Callithrix jacchus: one gene and its partner. The protein of the gene in region 1 purifies or fractionates together with the protein of each later gene. This does not show direct contact. Links are inferred from orthologs where the notes say so. Each region holds a gene or a part of one and is shown on either strand. Other genes may lie near its edges.

Region 1 (10,808 bases):
TGAAAAAGAAACATTCCATTGATATAATTAAGCCAATTTTCATGGACAGAAATAGTTATAGTGGATATAAAATAAGCAAAACCTTCACCAGAATCTGACTTCCCTCCTTTTTCGCCCAAAATGTTAACTATTAAACAAATATGGTGGTGGAGCTGCCATATCTTCAGGCCCTGGGGCACTGTTCCTGCATCTTGGGAGAGGCCGGCCAGGCGGGCCAGGCCAGGCACCTCCAGAGTGTGGAGGATTTGATGGCGAAGCCCAGGAGTGAAGTGGTCACAGCAGGCAGAGGCCACCCCTCCCCTGCACTGGGCTCAGCAGAGCTTGGGAGCACTCCTGGCCCAGAATGGCCACTGGGGCCCTGGCTGCAGCTTAGGAGGTGCCCAGACTTGAGGAACAGCGGCCTATGCCAGGCTGGACCAGGGACGTCAGCTGCCAGCCCCTTCCGCCCTGCAGCTCAGACCAGCAGGGCAGGAAAAGCTCCACCTCCCCCAGACTGCTGCACGGTGGGGGGGGGGGGGGTGAATATTTCCCTTCAGATCTGCGGGGTGCTGAAGGGCAGGTCCTGCCCCTCCTGGGCCAACCCGAGCCTCTTGCACTTGTTCCTGTCGAAGGCAGTAAGTGAGGGGGTGTGGAAGGTGCTGGCCAGGCCGCCCGACTAAGGCTTCGGCTTGTCTGTGCCTGCCCTTGGGGAGAGGACTCCCACAGCAGGGGCAGGAGGGGGTGCCGGACACAGCCAGCAGGAGTCCAGACCCAGCTAAGCAGGAATCCAGCCTGCAGGTGCGAGGCCACTCCCACGCAGGGCACACGTGACGCCCCGCCGGCTTTTTAATAACAGACCTGATACAAGTTGAGCACTGGCCTTGAGAAGATGCTTAAACCCTGACACATTAAAAAACAACAACAACAACAAAAAACAAAAAAAACACCCTACTGAATTCACAGCAAACTGTGGTGCCCCGTGGGGGAGGGGAGTGCTGCGTTAGAAACCCTGGAGGTCTTCATTTCTCCGAATTTCAGCCGAGCCCTCACTTTGCTGTGTGGCCTCCCAAAAGTTACTCCACTTCTCTGAGCCTGGGGTTTCTCACTCCCAAAAGTGGTGCCTGCTCCTCCGCACTCCATGCTCCCAGGGTCCGAGAAGGGAGGAGGGGTCCGGTCCCCTAGGCACTGGGACATCTTTAAAAAGTCCTGCGGGTCCCCGAGGGGGCCGGGGCTGCGGATCAGACTGGATCTATCTTCTCCGCGACGCTGTGCAGGCGGGTCTGCCCTCGAAATCCGGGCTCCCACCCTCTGCCTCGGTTTCTCTGCACCGTCCTCCCTCCCCACACAGCTCCTACCTGAACCCAGGCGGCGCGCGCTCCTGCGTCTCTCGGGGCGCAGGTCGGGGATGCCACAGGAAAGCGGCGTGAGCGGGGGCCTGGCGCCCACGGGGTCCCGCACGAGGCCGAGGGTCCGGGGTTCGGGACGTAAAGGCCGCCCTTCTCCGCCAGGGAGGCCAGGAGGAGGGGACCCTGGGGTTCAAGCTGGGGCTCTAGAGGGGCGGGCGCCGCTCCTGTCGGGCCAGGGTCTGGGGCGCCGGCTGCGCGGTGGAGAGGCGGGCGCTGCTCGCGCGGCGCGGTAGTTGGCCGCGACTTTGTGCGCCGGGAGCGGGAAGTCGGCCGCGACCACCGGCCGGCCCGGGGCCCCCAGATCCCGCTCCCCAACCCGGCCGCCGCAGTCTGCAGTCCTCGGCGGCCAGAGTCTGCGCCACGGCGAGGCCCCAGCCAGCTGGCTTCGCTGCGAAGTTTCTTTCCCGCACGGGGAAGTCGCCCGAGCTGCTCCCGGTCCTCCCGCGCGGGCGCCGGGAGCTGCAGCTTCCAAGACTTGTTACACGGGTTTGATTCAAAACCTGATAAATTGTATTTAACGCTATTTGAAATTTTTAAACGAAATTATTCAAAAGATTTTTAATCCTGGATAATTTTTGTTGAAACTCTAATTATACATCACCTTAATTACCAGCCCCAGCCCCCCAAGGATCCCTAATTGCCTCCTAATTGAATAAAACAGGGGGCTAATCGGGCCCTCCGCAGCCCAGCAAGCTGCCACCAGCCTGGCCTCCCCTGAGGGTCCCGGTGGGGGGAAGCCCCTGGCTGCCCGGCCACCATCACCCAGCCTCCCAGCAGAAACGGCAGACCTGGTCCCCTGCCCTGCGCACTGCCCAGAGGAGGACTCAGGAGCCGAGGAAGCCTTGGAGCCAGGAGGGGCCAGGAGGGGCCAGGAGGGGCCAGGAGGCTGAGTGCCACCTGCTCTGGAGTGCCGCTCACAGGACAAGGAGGGCGGCCCCGGGTGGGAGTCTGGTGGTCGGCGAGCCCAGGGCAAGGCCAGCGCCTGTCCCCAAGAAGCCCACCCAGCAGTTGCTCCACAAGCCAGCTTGGCAAGCCCCCTCCTGCCAGCTTCGGAGCCACAGCACACCTGCCCGCCGGGAGCAGAGGGAGGGCCTGCGGCGGCACAGTCCACTGCAGCGGGGCATCAGGCCCTGGCGGCCAGCCCTGCACTCCACCCCTCCACTCTCCACCGCGGCCTCTGTTTTCGTCCGAAGCGGGGCAAGACGCTGGACTCTGCCGGAGGCTTCCTGGCGCTGCTGCCCTAACCGGCCTCCTGATAGAAGGCAGCCGTCCTGGCTCTTGAGAGGGGACTAGAATAAGGGACTAATTTCCCCAGGGAGGGTGGGAGAAGGGACGGCCCAGCCAGCCGGGCCTGTTTCTGCAGGAAGAAGGAAGGAGGCTGTGAGCTGGGCCTCCAGCCCCACTCACCTCTACCCTGTCTCAAGCACACCTTCCACACACAGCACCCTCAAACACAAGCAAGACACTCGCAGTCCCACAGCAGGTGGGGGGGGGCTGCCGCTCCCCCACCCCAGGGGCTAGATGGCAGTTCTGGAGCGGACACTCCCCCAGCCCTGGGGTATGCAGCGTCTAGGACCAGGTCTGTCACCTAGATGGGGCTCAGGCCTCAAGGGGCAGCTCTGATGGGGGCGCTGGCTGACCCTCTCCCAGGCCACATCTTCCACCTGCACAGAGGGCCCCCCCAGCACTGGCGGAGATGACAGTTGGGAGGGTATCTTGGTGGTGCTAACACCCCACCTGCCCACCTGAATCAAAACAGCCCTGGAAACAATGAGCTTTTGTTAGGCATTTAGTTTGTAAACCTGGGGCCACCGAGGCCACTTCATCACCGGACTGCAAGGAGCTGGCTTCAGTAGGGGGACCCTGTCCCTTGAACTGTCCTTATTCTGCTCCTAGCCCCCAGGCTCAGGTGGAGGAGGCTGTGGGTTTCCCATCAGCTGAGCCACAGCCCCAGCCTGAATACCCCCGTGGCCACCTCTGTCCTTGGAAAGCTCAGCTGGGAGCCCTGGTCACCCCCAGAGCTGCTACCATTCAGCCCCTCATAGGACCAGGAGGAGCGACCCACTTGAGCTGAGGCCTGGATGGGGGTCTCCAGAGAAACACAAACGAAATTACAGCCCCAGATGCACACGCCGGGGTGGCCCCCGAAACGCTGGGTCATGGAGTCACCTCCGCTGGCCTGGTTGTTTTCTGTACCCAGGCTGAACACCAGCCTGGTAACCGTGACCTTGCTCCTGGCCCACCCCGCAGTTTCCTAACCTGGTCGGTATTGTGGGGAAGGGAGGACCGGCTGGCCGGAGTGCGGGCCCTACTGCCTCCAATTCAGGTAATAGTGACTGTGGTCCCAGGGGAAGTTAACATCTGCTTAAAATATCGGCTAATGAAATGAAATTCTTCAGCGGATCCCGCCTTGCTCAGGGCAGGCAATGTGATCTGTACCTGGCTCAGCCACCTTGGGGGCCCTGAGGACAGCGGTCCCAGCTGTGGACCCCGGAAGGAGGGGTTCCCTGCGGCGCTCAGCCAAGTGTGGACGCAGGGCCGAGGCCTGGCAGTCACCTCCCAAGGGGTTTTCCTCACTAAAGACTCTCGGGAAAAGGAAGCTAGCGCTCGGCGCTCCCGTTGGGCCCCGCTCTCCGGCCTCCGGGCCAGGCAACCACGGCCGCCAGACACCAGTTCTGGTCCTGAGCAGACCCAGTCCCCGGCAACCTTCCCCACCTGGCAGAGGTGGGGCCGGCGGGGAGCTGGGGCCAGGCGGGCGCCGGGCGCGCAGGGGCCTCTCGGAAGTTTCCGGGGCCGCGCGGGTGCGCCGAGTCGGCCTCTCGCTTGCAGCGAAGGCCCGGCGACAGCGCAGCGGCTTTCCACTTTCTCACTCCAGCTTTGGGTCCTGCCGGGGCTAGGGCCTGACCTGGCGGCCCGCAGGCAGCCGGGTGGTCCAGACTCTGAGAAGGCCCGCGGTGCAGAACCGAACCCGAACACGCACACGCACACCCCACGCGCGGAGGGCCCGCAGCGCCCTGCACAGACAGCCCCTGCGCGCGTCGGTCGCGAAACGCTGGGCCTTGTTCGCACCAAGAGGGGTCAGAGGTCACGGGAGGCCGAGGCCAAGGGCACCCGGCAGCGGAGCCCGGCGGGGAGGGGGCGCCTCACCGAGGGGCCGCGGGCGGCCGACGGCGGAGCGCAGGGGCGTCCGGAACAACTCGGAGCTGCTTTTCCCAGCGCGCGGAGCGCGGGGCCTACGGCTGCGGGGCCGCTGTTGGGACGAGCCGGGCGGATCCAGAGCCAAGGGAGTGGAGCTTCGGGAAACCGCCGCCAGCCCCGCGCTCACCCCGGCTCACGTTTGGGGGTTCGGCCCTGGGTGGCCGCGAGGCCGGCCTGGCGGGACCCGGCCCCGGAGGCGCGGACGGAACGGCGTGGGTCGGGCGGGGACCTCGAGAGGAGAGACGCGGGCGCCTCTGCGGCGGGTGGGCGGGCGGCCTGCGGGGGGGGGGGGCTGCGTGAGCGGGCGGCGCTGGCCGCTTCGCTGCAGCCGGGGCATCCTCGGGGCTGCGGGAGCCGCGCTCGCCGGGCCGCGGCGCCGCCCGCCCCCACCTGCCCGCTTCGGCGGCCGCAGCCCCCGGCCCCGCGGGCCCACAGCGGATGGCGCCGGCGGCCGGGGCGCGGGGTGTGCGCGGGCTGCTCGGAGGCGCGGCTGCAGCGGGCGAGGGCGCGGGCGGCGGGAGCACCCGGCTCGCGGGAGGGACCGGCTGGCGGCAGGCAGGGCGCGCGGAGCCCGGGGCTCGGCCGAGACGGAGCGAAAGAGAAAGTAAGACCAAGGACCAGGCAGTGCGGCCGGGGACAGTCGCCGCCGGGCCGGGCTGTGCCAGGCAAGCGGGTGCGGAAGGCTCCCCGCGGGCCGGAGGGCGGTCGCGGCGGGTCGGGAGGTGGCGGGTGGGAACCCTCCTGTCGGCCGCACGGCCACCTCGGCTGCCCACGCGGGCTGCCCGCGTCCCCGAGGAGCGCCCTCCACCACCACGCGGGGCACCGCCGGGGCATAAACTTCACTGCCGCAGTTCCCAGCCCGGGCAAAAGTCTCCATTTTGCTCCCCAAGCGGCCGTTTCTGCCGTCGCCGCCCCTGCCCCTGAGCCCGCGGAGCCGGGTGGGCGCCGGCCCGCGCCCCCTCCTCCGCCCCTCCCCGGCTCGGGGTCTCCCTCCTCTGCGCCCGGCTGGCGGACGCCAAAGGCGGTGCTCTAGCGCCCACTATTTCAAAAGCCCGGAATATGATTTGACCAGGACTGAGAGCCACTGGGAGAGAGAGAGAGGGAGAGAGCGAGCGGGCAGGAAAAAGTTGCTCTCCCCTTTCGTCAACTTTTCGCTAACTTTCGCTTTTCGCTCCCCTCCACCCCCGGCCCTCCCCCTCCGCCCCCCTCCCCGGCCCCCACCGCGCGCCTCGGGTTCCCGGGCCCGAGCGCCTGACACTGTTGGGGGGGAGGGGGTTCGGCGGGGAGGGGGCCGGCGCCTTCGGGGAGCGCGCGGCCCGGGCGCCCCGAGCCTCCGCGCCGGGCCCGGTCGCCCCGGAGCGCGGGAGGCGGAGCAGCCCCCCGGGCCGCGCGGCCGAGCCGGGGGCCCCGAGCCGCAGGCGCGCGGGCCGCGCCCCGACGCGCACCCCTGGCCCGGGCGCCCGGGCCCGGCGGCCCGGGCCCGGCGGCGCGGCGCGGCCGAGCGCGGGAGACTTACTTTTGGCTAGCTTCCTCGCCCTCGCCTTGGATCGCATGGTGTCGGCTCGCGGAATCCCTCTCCTCCTCCTTGAGTCCAGAAGCAGCCACACACTATCTTCATCTCCCCAGCATTGTCAGTTTGGACACCTTCGCACATGCGCACAGAGCACTCAATCTGACACCCCTCGCCGGGGCCAAAAAAACTTTGCAATGTATTCATCATCCTCATCGTCGCGCCGCCGCCGCCGCCTCGGCGCGGGATTGGGGGGCTCTCCTCGGCCTTCCCGGTCTCCGTCTCACTTCTCTCTCCCCCTTCTCCCCCCCTTTTCAGCGCAGCTCGTAACTGGCCCTTTAAGAAAACATTCCGTGCTGGGCGCTCCCGCCTGGGGCCCGCACCCCGGACACTTTAAAAGGACCCAGGTGGCCCCGGAGGCGAGGTGACTATCCCCCCCACCCTACCCCTGCCTCGCGTCGGGTCGCGCTGCGGCTCGCACCCCAGCCGGGGCCGAAGACTGGGTGGCGGCTGCGGTTTTCCACGCGACTTCCTCGGATCTCCGGGCACGCGCGCCGAGAGTTCGGACGAGGGTCCGGGCGGGTTTTGCTGCGTTTTACTGCATTTTATGACTAATTAAAAAGCTTGGCGTTCCCCGTCGCCCTGGCCCGCTTTTCTCCCGTCCACTCTCTCCCCTCGGCCCCCGTCCCCGCCCTGCGATCGCCGGAGGGAGCGTCGGGGTTCCGGCGCCAGAACCCGGCTCCTCCGAAGCCCCCTCCGGGCCCCGCCGCCCCCCTCGGGCCTCCGGGCCCCCGCCTCCTCCCCTTCGCCCCCACCCAACGGCTGCTGCTTCGGGCTTCGCGGCTCAAAAACAACAGCGGAGGCGCCGCCAGCTCCGCGCTCCGCCACTGCCCAGGGCGGGCGGCACTCAGACCCGCCGCCCTCGGTCCTGCCCGGAGCTGCGGAGTCCAACAAGCCCCGCGCGGGGGCACAGCGCGGGGGCGGCGGTCCGAACACCGGGTGTCCTCGGCAGATCGACCCGCCCGCGCGCTCCTGCCGCTGCACCCCCGCTGAGCTCCGCCGCGCCCCCAGGTGAGTGACTGGCTGCGCGAGCGCCGGAGCTGGGCCACCTTCGGGGACCCGGGCCTCTGGGAACGCTCCCCTCTGAGCTCTCGGGCCCAGGTGCGTAGGGGGCGGAAGGGCAGGCAGCGCAGGTGGAGCAGCGCCGGCGGGAGCGGAGCAGGCGCTTCCTCTGCCCCTGCAGCCCCCAAACTCCGAGGCGCCGCGGAGGAGGGGCCGGGCTGGGTGCACGCAGGGTGGCCCCGGCCCAGGAGCCTGGCGGCCTGAGTGCCGATTTCTCATCTGAGAATCTGGGAATCGAGAATGAACTGGAAGGAAACCGAGTCGCTCCCCCGACTGAGTCGCTCCCCCGCGCGCCCTCCTAGAGTACCGAAGTCCTGCCCGGCCACGGGTCGGGGAGCTGCCCCAGCGTCAGCTTGAGCCCGGAGCAGGGGTTGAGCCCGCGGTACGGGGGTCTCTCCGCCTCCCCGAGAGGCTCCTGCCGTGCCCTCCCTGCCCTTTGTTGTGTAATGAGACCTGTGGCGGCTCCACTGAGACCCACACGTGCAACTCCACGCCTCTGCGTTAAAGGAGGTGAAACGCAGCGGCCCTGAGAACCCCTGAGACCCGGGTGTCTTAGCAGAGGCGCCCCGGATGGGGAGGGGCGCGGGGCCGGCGCTACCCCAGAGGAAAAGCCCAGCAGAGCCGGGCTTGGCCGCAGCCGGCAGCGACGGTGCGCCAGGCCTTCTGTCCTGGATCCTCCGCAGTCGGCACCGCTTGCCCGCTCGGATTCGAACCCCGATGCGGCTCTCACGGGTCCAGGGTGCCCAGTCCTGGAGCCAGCTCGCCGCCGGAGCCCCTGCCGGAGGAAGCGCTCCCTAGTCGCTGCGGCTGTTTCTGGCAAAAGGTAAGTGTCGTCCAGAGAAGGGCCTTCAGCAATGGCACAGCCCTGGTCCCTGCCATCCTTCCGAGGGTCTATCGACCTCCCCACACCCTGACCATCTTTCAACAGGGTCTGGACCACAGAACAGCTGTGTTTACCGCCCGACCCAGCTCTGGAGGTCTTGCTCTGCCTCGCAGGCTAGGGCACCACTGTAGCCCTAGATGGCCAAGGTGGGCTCTGAACCTACTCACCCGAGTGCAGGGGAGGTGCTGGAGCCCAGGAACACAGGCTCTGTCCTGCCTAAACCCCGCCAAGGGCAGGCTTCCAACCGTGGGCCCAGCCTGGCTGGAGCTGCTGACTATGAAGGACTCAAGGTCACTCCCATACTCTGCACCCCAGATTCCTGCCTGCTCCTGCCTGAAGCCTCCGGAGCCCTGGGGTAGTTACCGTGGTGCCTGCGAAGCGCTCCCACCTGCAGAGAGGGTCATTTACCCCACCCTCACCCTGCAGCCCAGCAAAGGCCCCCTTTTCCCCTGCCCCAGAGGTTGCCAACAGATGCCAAGGTTGCATATCCCTGGTGCTCTTGGGGTGCCCCAGCTCTCTCAGTCCTTCTCCCTGCTCCCTCCTCCAGCTCAGGAGGTGATTCTCAGAACCCTGGCCAGGCTGGGGCAGGACAGCTGTCCCTGGCACTGTTGGCAGGGCCTGGGGAAGAAGGGTGGGAGGTGTGGGAGCAAACTACTCTGTGCCCTCTGGTCCCTGCCCTCTGCCAAGCTGTGGGGTAGGGATGGGGTCACGCTTCTCTGGTTCTGCTGCTGGTAAAGGCTGGCCAGGGAGATGGTCGAGAGCCCACCCACAAGGTGCCCAAGCAGCCCTGGCTCCAGTGTCTCCCAGTGTGCTGGAGGAGCCCAGGCAGGCTGTTCCCAAGGCGGTGGCCCTGGCTGAGGTTTCGTCCTGGTCTGACCAGGCCCTGCCCCCACGTGGCCACACTCAGAAGCGGAGAGCAGGTCAGGCGTTGAGGAGTCCCATGGGGAGAAAGGGTGAAACCGGGAAGGGTAGATGTAGGTCCTCCCTGGGGTGCAGTTCCGTGTCCCTGCCTGGCAAGGGCTTTGGGGGGCTTGGGGAACAAGTAGGGCAAGTGGAGGCCCAGCGGGAAAAAGGTTGATACTAGAAGGTTTGAGGGCAGTTTTCAAACCAAGTCCAGCTCTGTAGAGCCTTGGGGCTGATGCCAGGTCCTGGGACCCTGTGCTGGGACTGTAAGTGCGGTGGGCTCGTTCCCAGTGACCTCCTTGGCTTGTCCAGACAGTGAGTGTGGGTTGGCCACATAGAGGCTCCTACACCGGACAACGGCATGCTGCTGTCAAGTTCCAAAACCAACTTCATAGCTGGGGTCTAGGAGGCTAGAGAGGGGCTTTTACCTCCGACTTCTGCTGGGGCTGGGCAGAGAGAGAACCCATGGAAACTCCATTTACCCACGAGCCCTGCAGACCCCCAGTGCTTCCAGTGCCTGGAGACCCATGAGCAGGTGAATTCCTTAGGGTAAAGGCCAGGCTCGAAAGCCAGAAATGCTGGTCCTGCAGTGCTGGAGGAAGTGTCTTACTAGACAGCCGTAGGAGGACCCCAAGCCCCAGGGGTTCCCCAGAAACCCACTGAGCAGCAAAACTACCGCGAGGGCCCGCCCTGCACTCCCAGAGTCTACAAATGCATTCAGGGCTAGAGGGCTCCTTGGCTTGGCCAGGCTTTGTGCCCGGTGTGAACTGGCAGGGTCAGAGCTGCCCCAGCTGCCCGTCGCAGCCCCTCAGGCCCCAGGGAGCCCTGCTTTGGGCTGTGTGTGCAGGGCAGGAGTGGGCAGGGTGCCTGGCAAGGTGGACTGACCTCATCCGTTCTCATCCCTTTCCCTCCCGGTCCTCTGTGCTTTTTGAATTTGGCTGTAGTCTTTCAGACACTTGGCCTCAGGCTCTGTTGAATTCCAGGGCCAGTTTTACTCACTCCTCATCCCCACCTTGTTCCTTTAGGAAAAACTCCGGGTAGCAAAGAAGCACCTATCCTCTAGTTTCCCAACTGGCTTTCCTGGGAGATGGGAAATGCCCCAGGAGGAATCCAGATGGCCAGCACTCACCCCACCCCCATTACCTGGGCCACTGAGTCAGGCCAGGATGAGGCTGTGGCTCTCTCAGCCCATTCTCCTGCCCCACACTTGGTGGGAATGTCTCCCAGACTTGAGCAGCAGGAGGTGGGAGACCACAGGGCCCTGAGGATGGGTGACTCGGCTCCCACAAGCAGAGGGGACGTGGAGGAGGGCCGCTGGACCCCACACCTAGCAGGGGACTCGATGGGGGCTGAGTGCTGGAAGGAGCCTGTGCTTGGTCTAGAATGGCGGGTGTGTGGGGGAGAACAGGCCAGCAGAAAGGTCATTTCTTCCTTATTCAGGCCTCTGGAATGACCCGAAGTGGGCGCTTTCTCCAGCATCATGCCTGAGGATGATGAGGCCACAGGAATCCCCCCAGACCCTGGGGTCAATATTTCAGGGCTCCTCTTCACCTTCCTCCCACCCCAGGCCTGGGAAATCTTCCTGTGCACCAGAGTTCTTGGAGAGGACAGGGCACAGTTCCCAGTTCTGGCCCAACGGCGGCAGGGCTTGGTTCCCTGTGGCGCTCAGAGGTGGGGGCCTCCCAAAGCCGATACCTGATTCCTGTTCCCAGATTGGGGAACTGGGAGGAGTGAACTTCCTAGGAATGTGAGCCATGTCCCTGATTTCCAACAAACCCCAGATGTGTGGAAACGATGTCTTCTGAGT
Region 2 (10,808 bases), on another chromosome or scaffold:
ATGTATAGAATCCTATGTTACTAATTTTATCTTGTGACTTTGTAAAAATAGATATTTGACTATTGCTTGCCTTTTATCATTGTAATTGATAAGGCTGCTTTCATGAGAACTGCTTTTGAAGTAATCTGAGTGGTTTTCTTTTTCACTTTAACATTTCTTTTGTATTCTGCAGTTTTACTCCTAAATGTAGAAGTGCAGTTTCATTTTTTACCCCTGGCTCGAGTCTCACAGCATTCCTGAATCTTATCAGGGAATGATGAAAAAATCCCACATTTTTCATCAAGTATAGAACTTTCTTAGTCATTATCTTTATAAATACTGCTGCTTCCTCATTCTTCTAATCGTTTGGAATGAAACGCTAATCTTTGGGATCTCCTCATTCTGTCATCATGCTCTGCCTCGCACGAGAAGAAACTTCTGCATATATCACAAATTCAGTTTTCAGCTAGGTCTAAATTGCTTTTTAACTCATCCATTGAGTTAATTTTAGCAGCACAGTTTTGGGTTCTAGGTATTCCATTGAGTTCTTCAAAACTGCCTATTCTTCCCCAACTCCCTTGGAATCGTATTCTTGTTCGTTTCCTTCTTTTATTCCTGTAATGCTTAACCATGAAAACATGCGTAATTAATGTTCTCTTATTTGCTCAGTTTACCTTCGGAAGGCCTTTGGCGGAGGAGTCCATTCCTGCTGTTCACACATCTGCTGACTTCCCTCCTGTGGCTCTTTCTTTGCGTGTTTCGTTCTTTATGATTGTAAACTCATCTTCAGTGGGCTTTATGGGTAGGAGTTGGAGGGGGCTAGATTGAGAATGTCTATGTGATTTTACTTCTATCACTGTGCCTGCTTCTGTCATGGGCTTTAAGGGTATTACTGGCCTGAGCTCAGGTTTTATATCAAGTTATTTGCTGCAGGGGTGGTAGGGTCTGGACTGTGAAACCTGTGAAAACTCAATACCTAGGCTGGGCATGGTAGCTCATGCCTGTAATCCCAGCACTTTGGGAAGCCAAGGCAGGAGAATTGCTTGAGCCCAGGAGTTCAAGACCAGCCTGGGCAACACAGCTAGACCGTGCCTCAAAAAAGAAAAATTCAGTCTGGGCGCGGTGGCTCACGCCTGTAATCCTAGCACTCTGGGAGGCTAAGGCAGGCAGATCAAGAGATTGAGACCATCCTGCACAACATGGTGAAACTCAGTCCCTACCAAAAAATACAAAAATTCGCTGGGTGTGGTGGTTTGTGCCTGTAGTTCCCAGCTATTTGGGAGGCTGAGATGGGAGAACTACTTGAACCTGGGAGACAGAGGTTGCAGTGAGCCAAGCTCACACCACTGCACTCCAGCCTGGCAACAGAGCTAGACTCCATCTAAAAAAAAAAAAAAAGAAAAAAGAAAAAATCAATACCTGACGTCTAACGAGGCTGTGAGCCCTGATTATCAATTGTCAACAGAACTTTCTGTCTCACAGAACCACAACAGGCAAGCCAACATGGAACCATCGTATCGTCTCCTGTTCCTGTGGGCACACAGCTACTCGTTCACATCTCTCCTGAAGGTGTAGCCCTTTGAGTGCCCTTGTTCCAGTTCCTGCTTCATGTGGGTCCAGGGAGGCCTCATCTCCTTTCCCATGTGAATGTCAAGACGTAGACCCTGAGGCTCCAGACCAACACTCTGCTGGGCAGCTGCCCTCAGGCTCTCACACTTCAGGACCCGGTTTTCAGTTTGTCTCTGGCTCCCGGCACGTCCCTGACCTCCTTGTGAGCTCAGCTCTGCATTAAAAGTTTGTTGTTTCTGTGTTGTGTTCACAAGCTCTGTCCTGGGAGGCTTTTGGGGTCTTAGCACCACAGGGAAAGACAGAAGTGGAAATCTGCTTTTGCACTATTTCTAAGATGAATTTCTAGGCTTGTCTTCAGAACACTTGCCATCCCCCTCTGCTCTGGCTTGAATGACTGTCCTCTCCAAAATTCATGTAGAAGTTTGATTGTCATTGTGACGATATTAATAGGTGGGACCTTCGAGAGGTGATTAGGCCCCGAGGCCTTTGCCCTCCTGAATGGGCTGGTGGGCATGTTATAAAAGGGAGGGTTCAGCCCCTTCTGTTTCTCTCTCTTGCTCAATCATCCTTCCTCTTTGCCCTTCTGCTATTCTGCGACGTGATGACGCCACAGGAAGGCCCTGACCCCTGACGCTGGACCTCCCAGCCTCCTGAACCGTAAGCCAGCAAGTTTCTCCACACTCTAAGTGACCCAGTCTGTAGGAGCCTGTTACAGCAGCACGGAACGGATGAAGACATCCTCTGTATCGTTTTGCAATCCCACGAGACAGGCGTTCTTTTGCATCACTGATGAAACTCGGCCCTGGAGGGCTTAAGTAACAAGGCAGGTCTGTCGGCTTCAGTTCTCGGCTCCCCTGGGCTTCGTGGCGCTTCACAGCTCGCAATCCCCCTGCAGGGCAGATGTGATTTGTCCTCCCATCTTGTGGCTGAAAAGCAAGCCTGTGGCACTTAAACAGGTTACGTGGCAGGTTTCAGCCATTGTACTAAAACATATTTTGGGTAGAAGATGTGGTGTGTATACGCGATGGCTCAGCGGTCAGCCTTAACAAGGAGGACAATTCTGCCACGTATGACAATATGGATGAACCAGAGGGGCATTAAGTGAAAAAGCCAGGCACAGAAAGACAAACACTGCATGATCTCACTTACAGGTGGGATCCACAAAAGTTGACTCACGGAAGCAGAGGGTAGAATGGTGGTTATCTGGGGCCGGGGCTGGGGCTGGGTGGAGATGCTGGTCAAGGGATACATTTCAGCTACATGGAGGAATACGATCAAGGGAGCTATAGTGGGACTTGGTGACTTTAGCTAATAACATGGTGACTATAGTTAAGAACAACATATCTTGTGCTTGGAAATTGCTAAGAGTAGATTTTAAGTGTTCTCACCATCCCAAAAAACAAGTATGTGAGTGAATGCATGCTAATTAACTTGATTTAGCCAGTTCACAATGTATACATAAGTTAAAACAAATTGTAAACAATCAATGTATACAATTATTATGTGCCAATTAAAATAAATACATTTAAAAATATTTTAGGTATTTGTCCATTTTTGTTTCAAGTTTACTTGTTCATCATTTTAGTATGAAAAATTTTTTTTTTTGGCTGGGCGCAATGGCTCACACCTGCAATCCCAGCACTGTGGGGGGGCCAAGGTGGGTGAATTACCTGAGGTCAGGAGTTCAAGACCAGCCTGGCCAAGATGGTGAAACCCTGTCTCTACTAAAAATACAAAAAATTAGGGGGGTGTGGTGACGGGCACCTGCAATCCCAGCTACTAGAGAGGCTGAGACAGGAGCATTGCTTGAACCCAGGAGGCGGAGGTCGCGGTGAGCTGGGATGACGCCACTGTACTCCAGCCCGGGCAACAAGAGCGAAACTCTGTCTTAAAAAAAAAAAGACGACTGTTTTTTTTCTTCCTGTGTGTACATGACTGACAACCCAGTGGTTTCCTTTAATACCTTATCAACATTTCCAGGCACTTTCTGTATTTGAGGTATGTGAATAGGGTGGCCCTCGTCTTGAGCGTGGCACTGAACTGGAGGCCTTTGGCTACACGCCGGAAGCTCTGGGTACTGAGGAGCTTGTCCCCCACTCTGTGCCAGGAATCGGAACGGTGGCCTAGGAGAGTTGGCAGAGGAGGAGGAACCAGACGCAGTGAACTTCCTGGTTTGTCCCAGTGTCAAGCAACTTGGCGTTTTTCTTTCACACGTGGCTGGAACAGAGGAGACTCACAGAAATATCTTCGTTGAATAAATAGAGTCCATTGAAATGGAGTCACATGAAGCAGCATTCATCCATCCAAAACGCCAATGCTTCCTTAGGGTGGGCTGAGTTTTACCCCAACACTAAGTTGTCTCATGTGATGGGCAAAACGACTCACGTGGAAACTGAGGCTGGCTGGGGGAATCCAGGCCTCTGGCATCCTCACCAAGGTAACTCTTGAGCAGCTCCCAGACAGCCCATTGTGTAGGGCAAACACCAGGAGCCCCTCCTGTGTGCAGGTACATGGCAGGCTCAACCATGGCCAGAGGGCAGGCACATGCTCGGCCAAACCCTAGAGGGTGGTGGGCATCTGCTCATCACAGGGGAGGACGGGAGGTGGGAGAGGCAGGTGGGCCTGTGGGGGTTGGGACGAGCTGTGCACATGGCTTGGCACACCCAAAGCTGAGGTTTCTCCTTGGGCAACACAGTCACATGTGAGTGTAGGAATCTCGGCTGGAGTTGCCCAACGTGGGGAGCAGACAGCACTGTAGCCAAAACCGCAGCTGGAGAATGCAGTGCTTGGAACAAGCCAAGCCATTGGGACGGGGCTGGGGCCAAGTAGACATGATAATGCACTAACGAGCAGTGCGGGGGGTAGGCTGTGGAGCGTGATCCTGGGGGAGACGCTGGATCCCTGGCTGGCCTGCATTGCTCTCCAGAGCTTTTAGCTGCCTGTGGAATTCCAGGTGCTCTGCTCCAGCTACTTTCAACGTATAAGCAGGAAGTGGATGCTGGAGAGGAACTGCTCTTCTGGACTGAGCTTGCTGCTCATGGCAGCCCCACCTACAGGGCCCAAAGCCTTATTGATGTTCCTTGCACCTTCCACCACGTGGCTGCCTCTTGAGCTCTGCAAGTGCACCACAGAGCCAGGAATTTCTCCCCAAAAGCCTCTCCATTTTACCCACGACCCCCCAGTAAATCACAACCTGAGAATAGAGTGTCTGCGACCCCCCTGTCCCCAGCTCCCCTGGGGGCAGGGGTTGGCACATCCCTGTGCCCGGCCACTTGCTGCCTCCTCCTGGGCTGCTGGTCCATGCCCAGTGGACAGGAAAGCCCAGCGAGGTCCCTGCCTGTGCACCCCGCCAACCACACTGTCCCCTCCCGGCAGCCTCACCTAGGCCCCTCCAGTGGCGGCCCCTTGTCCCCTGCACCCATGCCTGGCCTTGGAAGTTGCTGCTCACTTTTCTGGAATATTCTTTTCTTAGATCTCTGCAGGACTGTCCCTACCCCTACAAGGGCTCCACACATGTTCCCTCCTTCATGACTCCCACTGGGCTTCCCCGGCAGAGCCCCATGTCTCCAAAGCTCTGGTGACACCTGCCAGGCTTCCTCCAGGCCACAGCTCCGCAGCGCGCGTCTGAAAGAGAATAGGAAGTGGCCCGCAGGGCAGGCTGGCTGAGGGCCCCAGCACTGTCAGCGGGGTCTGAGGTCCTCCCAGCCCTGAAGGGGAAACTGGAGCTTCTCAGGCCAGCCCAGGACGCGTCCTCAGGAACCACAGCAGGTGCCTGGCAGCGGAGAGGAGTCTGCGTCTTTCAGGATCCATACTGTTGTATCCGAAACTATGCAAACACTTCGGGGTGCTCAGAGTAGCCCCGCAGAGGCCCTCCCCACGGGGCGGAGGGAAGCGTCCACTCGCTATCCCTGGGCCCTTGGAGAGTCCGCAGAGGCAGCCCCTGGGGGAGCAGGCCGGGGTCTGGACGTCTCCTGCAGCGGGCGGGGCTTTGCTATTAATCCTTAACCCAAATTATGGAAAGAGGAGCTGAGCTGCCAGGACGCCGGTCGGCTACAAACCCCACTCTTGTTAAAGACAGAGGGGGTCGGGGAGGGGGTTCTCCGGCCCTGAGCTTCCCGGGCCTGGCAGAACGCGGCCCCTCCGGGAGTCCGGGTCCCCGGGCGGGGGAGGCACCGGGGCGAGCGCGCTTCTCCCGGGGCCCCGAGTGCGGCCGGCTCTCGGACGGTAAATTCAGGGCCCGGGTGGAGGCGACGGGGTCCCGCGGCCTCGGTGACCCTGGACAGCAGCGGGAAGAGCGGGACCGCAAGGACAGGCTCCCCGGGGGCGCACGGACCCCGCCGCGCACCGGCTGCAGGGCCAGGCCGCGGGCCGAGGCGCGAACGCGGGAGGCGGCGGCCGGAGGGGCGGGAAGGGAGCGGGGCGGCCCCGGCGCGGAGGAGCGCCATTTACGTTCCGGCCCGCGCCGGGCGCTGACGTGGGCGGCCCGGCCCGGCCGGCGGCGCAGTCCCGCAGGGGCCTCGGGGTGGACGGCCCGACCCTGCCCGTCTTCCTCGGGGACGGGCGGTTTAGAACGTACAGAACTCCGGGCCCCGGGGCTCCGCCGGGCTGCAACCCCGACCAGCTTCCCGCCGGGCTCCCGCCCCGCCCCGCGGCCGCGCCCCGGCCGGGCGGGCCCTGAGCCGCCCGCGTGAGTCCGCCCGCCGCCCGCGCCGGGAACCAGGAGACCAACCGCGAGGCCCCGCCCGCGCGCGCCGCCGTGTCCCCGCCCGCGCGGTCGTCCGAGCGCGGCTCAGCGGCGCGGCGGAGACTCGGCACGGCGGCGGCCAGGCGCAGGCGGGCGGGCGGAGCAGCGGACGGCGCCGAGGCCGCCCCAAGCGCCGGGCTCGCGGCGGCAGAGCGCGCCGGAGTGGTCGGGGCCCGCGGCCGCCCGCGCCTCTCGATGGGCAGCTCGCACTTGCTCAACAAGGGCCTGCCGCTGGGTAAGGCCGCGCGCGCGCGCGTTTCCGGCCGCGGGCGGGGGCGGGGCGGGGCGGAGGCCGCGCGGGCGGGGGACGCGGGGGCGGGTTGAGCGCGCGCCCGCAGGCCGCCGGCTTTGTGTGCGAGTGCGCGTGCGCGCTAGCGCCCGCGCGTAGCCGCGACCGGGGGCGGGACCGCGGGAGGGGTGGTGCGCATGCGCGGACGGCTGCGTACCGGTGCGCGTGCGCGAGCGCCGCTGTCCGCCCGCCCCGCCCGCGGCCCGCGCAGGTGACACAAAGGGGCCTGCGGGCCTCTTGGCTGCCCCGCGGGATCCCCCGGCTCCACTGGCCCTAGGCCCTGGGGACCCGGGACGGCCCCCTGAGTCCCGATCCCCGGCCGCGACCCAGTCCCCAGTCATGACCCCGCGGCTGGGCCTGCGGGGCTGAGGTGTGGGGTGCGCCCTGCGCAGCTCGGGACGTCCTGGGGCGCGCTCCCTGGGCCACTCGCGGGAGCGCGCCCCGCCCGCCCGGAGACCGCCGGCTACGGTGGCGGCGCGCTGTGGGGAAAGAGGACGGGCCCCGGGCGCCTGGTCTGACCGCGGAGGAGGCCGCCACCCTGAGACCGGGCCCAAAGCGCAGCCCCCGGCTGTGACGCGGGAGGGCCCGGGGGTCTCCGTCCCCGCGAAGTCCCGGACCCGCCCGGCGCCCCCACCTGCTCGTGCCTGGTGCCGCCCTGGTCCTCGGGCGCCTTCCCCGCGGGCTGCGGAAGCAGGGAGCTTGGGCGGGAGCCGGGCCCGCAGGCATCGCCATCTTGCAGTGCCCGCGTTCTGGGCCGGCCCGGGCCGCTCCGCGGAGCGTCTGCCCCCACCTCCGACTCGGCTGCAAAGGCAGAGCCCGTGCGCCTGAGCCGCGGGCCGGGGCCGGAGCCCTGCTGCTCTAGTCTGTGTGATTGCCCGGACAGAATCCCTTCCAGTGGGGAAGAGGGAGGGCGGGCGCGCTGTTCCCGGTGCTCCGAGCTGGGGAGGGGAACCCTGAGAGCCGGGGTTACAGGGCCCGGCGTCTGGCCGAGGCGGCGGGTGCGCAGGGTGCCCCGTCCAGCTCCGTGGAGCACGGGCCCCCCGAGTCCTCTCCACCGTTTGCGAAGGAGCTCGGCAAGGGGCGCACGTTCCTCAGGGAAAGAAAGGCGCTGGCGGCTGGGCCCGCACCTCGGCTGTCCCCGCTGAGCTAGCGCGGTGACCCCGGCCTTCCCGGCCTTTCCCGGCCAGGGGGTGGCCTCTGCGCGTCCGCGTCTCCAGCTGCGACTTGGGACGGTGTTGGGGCAGCACCGTGGGGAACTATTTGCCGTTGCAGCTGAGGATGACAGCTGCGGTTTGTGGGACCCCTTTCTCTGTCCTGGAACCTCGTTGGGCGTGGCTCTGCCCTGGGCCTCAGCAGCAGGCCTCCCGGGTCTCCCCTGCGGGCCCAGGCCTGGCCACCACCTTCTGGGGTCCGGGCTTGGCGCCTGGTTGCTGCTGTCGGCTCTGCAGACGCCTCTTCCTCTCTTGGTTCTGTCGTCCATTTTTGAGCACCTGCTTCTGTCCTCGGGTCTCCAGAGCTCTGGAAGGGACATGCACCCGGGGCCGCGTCTAGTCACTCCTGGTGGTGCCTCGTCTGCCTTCCTGGCCATTTTGGGGTGTCTGCCATGTCCCCAACGTGCACTTCATCCTGTCAGCTTTGACAAGAACAGTGATGAGTTCTGAGAGGTGGGCGTGTGGTTGGGGATGTCAGTGTGGGATCTTCCCTTCTACACGTTTGTCATTAATCTGAGGATATAGCAGTAGGGGGGGGCGGGGGGGGCTTGGCCCCGGGTGCACAGGACGGGGACTGGTCTTGTCCCTGTACTCAGTGGGCTGAGCCTGGGCCCAGTCCTGTGGGCTTGGGCTGCCCCGGCCAGGCTGGCCCTTCCTGCAGTGCTCTGTGCCCTGCTGTGCCCTGGTACTCCCCATGCAGTGCCCGAGTCAGCATGTGCCCTGTGGGGTGTTTACCTCGGGTGACTCTCCTTCCAGAAGAACTTGTTTTCCACTCCACTCGGGGCTGGAGAGGCTCTGTGTAGGTGGTGCTGATGGGGTGCAGGCTTGGCTCAGGGCCCAGGGGTGGCCAGGAGGTGGTGGAGGCTGCAGGGGCTGCTGTGGGGGTTCTGTGGTTGAACTGCATAGCTTGAGGGAACACTGGTCAGAGCGCAGGGGTCCTCTGGTGGGCAAAAGCTCTGTGCGAGGAGCCTCTGGTCCCCCGGGTCCTCCATTGTCTGCTGCAGTGGCCAGAGCCCACTGCTGTCCTCCCCCCGACTAGGTCGGGGTAACCTACAAGGTGCCACCTATGTCACTTGACTGTCCCTTCCGGCAGCCCTTCAACCACACACTTAACGTGGTATCTCCCATGAGAAAATGTTCATTTTTTCCTGTGAATCCAGAAATCTCTTAGATTGTTCTTTGTCAAGCCAAACACTGACCTTGAGTTGTCCCTCTGGGTGGCCCCAGGCGGTGCCAGCTTGTAGGTGTTGAAGGAGAGGGAGGATGGTCCAGAGGAAGCCCAGTAGGTCCAGGGTTGGTTTGGATGGGGAGGTTTTGGGGCTGTGGCCCTGAGAGGCGTGGGACCAGGCCCCTTCTGCACCCTCCCCTGGCACCGCCATCAACTCCCCAGGCCTGATGTGGCCCATGCCGCCCTGGCCTGCCGCCCATCTGTGGTATGCGGGCTGCTAGGCTGCCCCGTCTGCCTGGCTGGTATGAGCCTGAGGCATCTGAGACTGCCTCTCAAGCAGTATGGTGTGTAGAATGTCCTGTTGGGAAGGCCAGAAAGGGGGTAGCCCAGCTGCCCCACACGTGGTAGGAGCTGGGAAGGTGGCGTTCTGGGGGATCCTGGAGTTCACAAGGTGTCTGCATGTGCTTGCTGAATAAACATGGGAACGTGCGAATCCACGGAAGTCCTGGAGAGGAGTCTCGGTGGCAAATTCGTGCCTCTGATTACAGCTCCTACTCTGCGATCTCTGAGCTGCGATGTGGCCCCACAGGCCCTGTGGAGCACCGTGGCTCCCTGGCTCACAGGATGCTGTAGTCGGAGGTGCTGCGTCGGCCCATGGGTGGCAGGCGGTGTCTGTCTGGGGGAAGTTCTGGTGGCCCCATGCTGCTGTGGGGCTCCCTCTTGGGGGACTGGCCTTCTCTGTTATTACAGGGCAGGGACTCAGTCCCCTCGGGGCAGCAGGTGGCTGCATCTTGGGGCTGGAGGGCTCTGGGTCAGGCTGTGTGCAGCCTTTGTCACTGTCAGCCCCTGCCTGGGCAGCTCAGCCTGGACAGCCAAAGGCGGCATCTCACCAACGCCCAGGTGGCTGTGCCAGGGGACTCACGGCAGGACAGCTTTGTCACGAGAAGGCCACTTGGGGCAGTGCCAGACTTTTAGCCCAGAGGCATCAGGGCTTATGGGGACAAGGCAGGGTGAGGGCTGGCGAGACTGCCAGCCCAAGGGTGCCCTTCTGGAGGTTGGGGAACGTCTTCCTGGGCAGCAGCTTTAGTGGCCTCTGTGGGGAGGGGGAAGAAGATGGGGTTGGTGAGGAAGGGCCTTGGGGACTCATTCTGGTAGAGGCCGTGGGGGAGGGCAGGGGACTGGTTGGCCTAGCAGGGCTGGAGGGACTTGGAGGGTTGGTGGCTGCTGAGGCTGGGTCTCAGCAGGCCGGGATGGGGCCAGGCACTGAGACTGGGGAAGGAACAATGCTGTTGTGGTGAGTTTGGACAGCTGAGTCCGACATCTCATCAGAGCTGCAGGAGGAGAGAGAAGCCAGCAGGGGACCCCCAACCCCAAGTCCTACCTGAGGGGACTGGCGCAGCCTGGGCTGGAGATGACCCCAAGCAGGTGCTTGGTTCTGGCGCATCTTGGGGTCTCCTGGGACTTCCTGCAAACCCAGTGCCCAGAGACCTTCTGTGGCTGTCCGGCGGGGGGGCAGGTCCCAGCCTGTGGTGACCCCGGTGTGCAAGGAGCTACCCTGGTCCCTCTCCAGAGTGGACTGATGCCCGTTGCACACGTGACTTAGGGCCGAGGGGGCAGGTGTGGCCAACAGGAGGAGGATCCAGAGACGGCTTCGGCACGTGGTCTGGTGGCACTGGGGTCATCAGGCCGCCCCTGTGCAGCCTCCTGGGACTTGATGCCTCCGGAGACCCTGGGGGTTGTTGCCTCTCACCTTAACCTCGTTTTCTTTAAAAGAAATTTTTATGTTAGAATAGTCTGAGATTTGCAGGAAAGTGAGGAAGCTAGCACAAGCTTCGGGTGCGCCCCACA

Evidence for each region.
Region 2: the proteins of PRDM16 (region 1) and CTBP1 purify together in Homo sapiens (affinity purification with mass spectrometry; 3 studies listed by BioGRID and IntAct, with this or other methods). This does not show direct contact. The link is inferred for Callithrix jacchus from reciprocal best matches to the Homo sapiens genes PRDM16 and CTBP1.

The regions. Positions count from the first base shown.
Region 1 is NC_133508.1:40,954,411-40,965,218, reverse strand, and holds the start of PRDM16 (histone-lysine N-methyltransferase PRDM16), read right to left. Parts: upstream 6,194-10,808; 5' UTR 6,137-6,193; coding exon 6,100-6,136; intron 1-6,099. UniProt on the Homo sapiens protein: Binds DNA and functions as a transcriptional regulator. Displays histone methyltransferase activity and monomethylates 'Lys-9' of histone H3 (H3K9me1) in vitro.
Region 2 is NC_133504.1:191,919,974-191,930,781, forward strand, and holds the start of CTBP1 (C-terminal-binding protein 1), read left to right. Parts: upstream 1-5,124; 5' UTR 5,125-5,316; intron 5,317-5,320; exon of another isoform or gene 5,321-5,358; intron 5,359-5,570; exon of another isoform or gene 5,571-5,772; intron 5,773-6,312; exon of another isoform or gene 6,313-6,487; coding exon of another isoform or gene 6,488-6,527; intron 6,528-6,762; exon of another isoform or gene 6,763-8,245; intron 8,246-10,808. UniProt on the Homo sapiens protein: Corepressor targeting diverse transcription regulators such as GLIS2 or BCL6. Has dehydrogenase activity. Involved in controlling the equilibrium between tubular and stacked structures in the Golgi complex.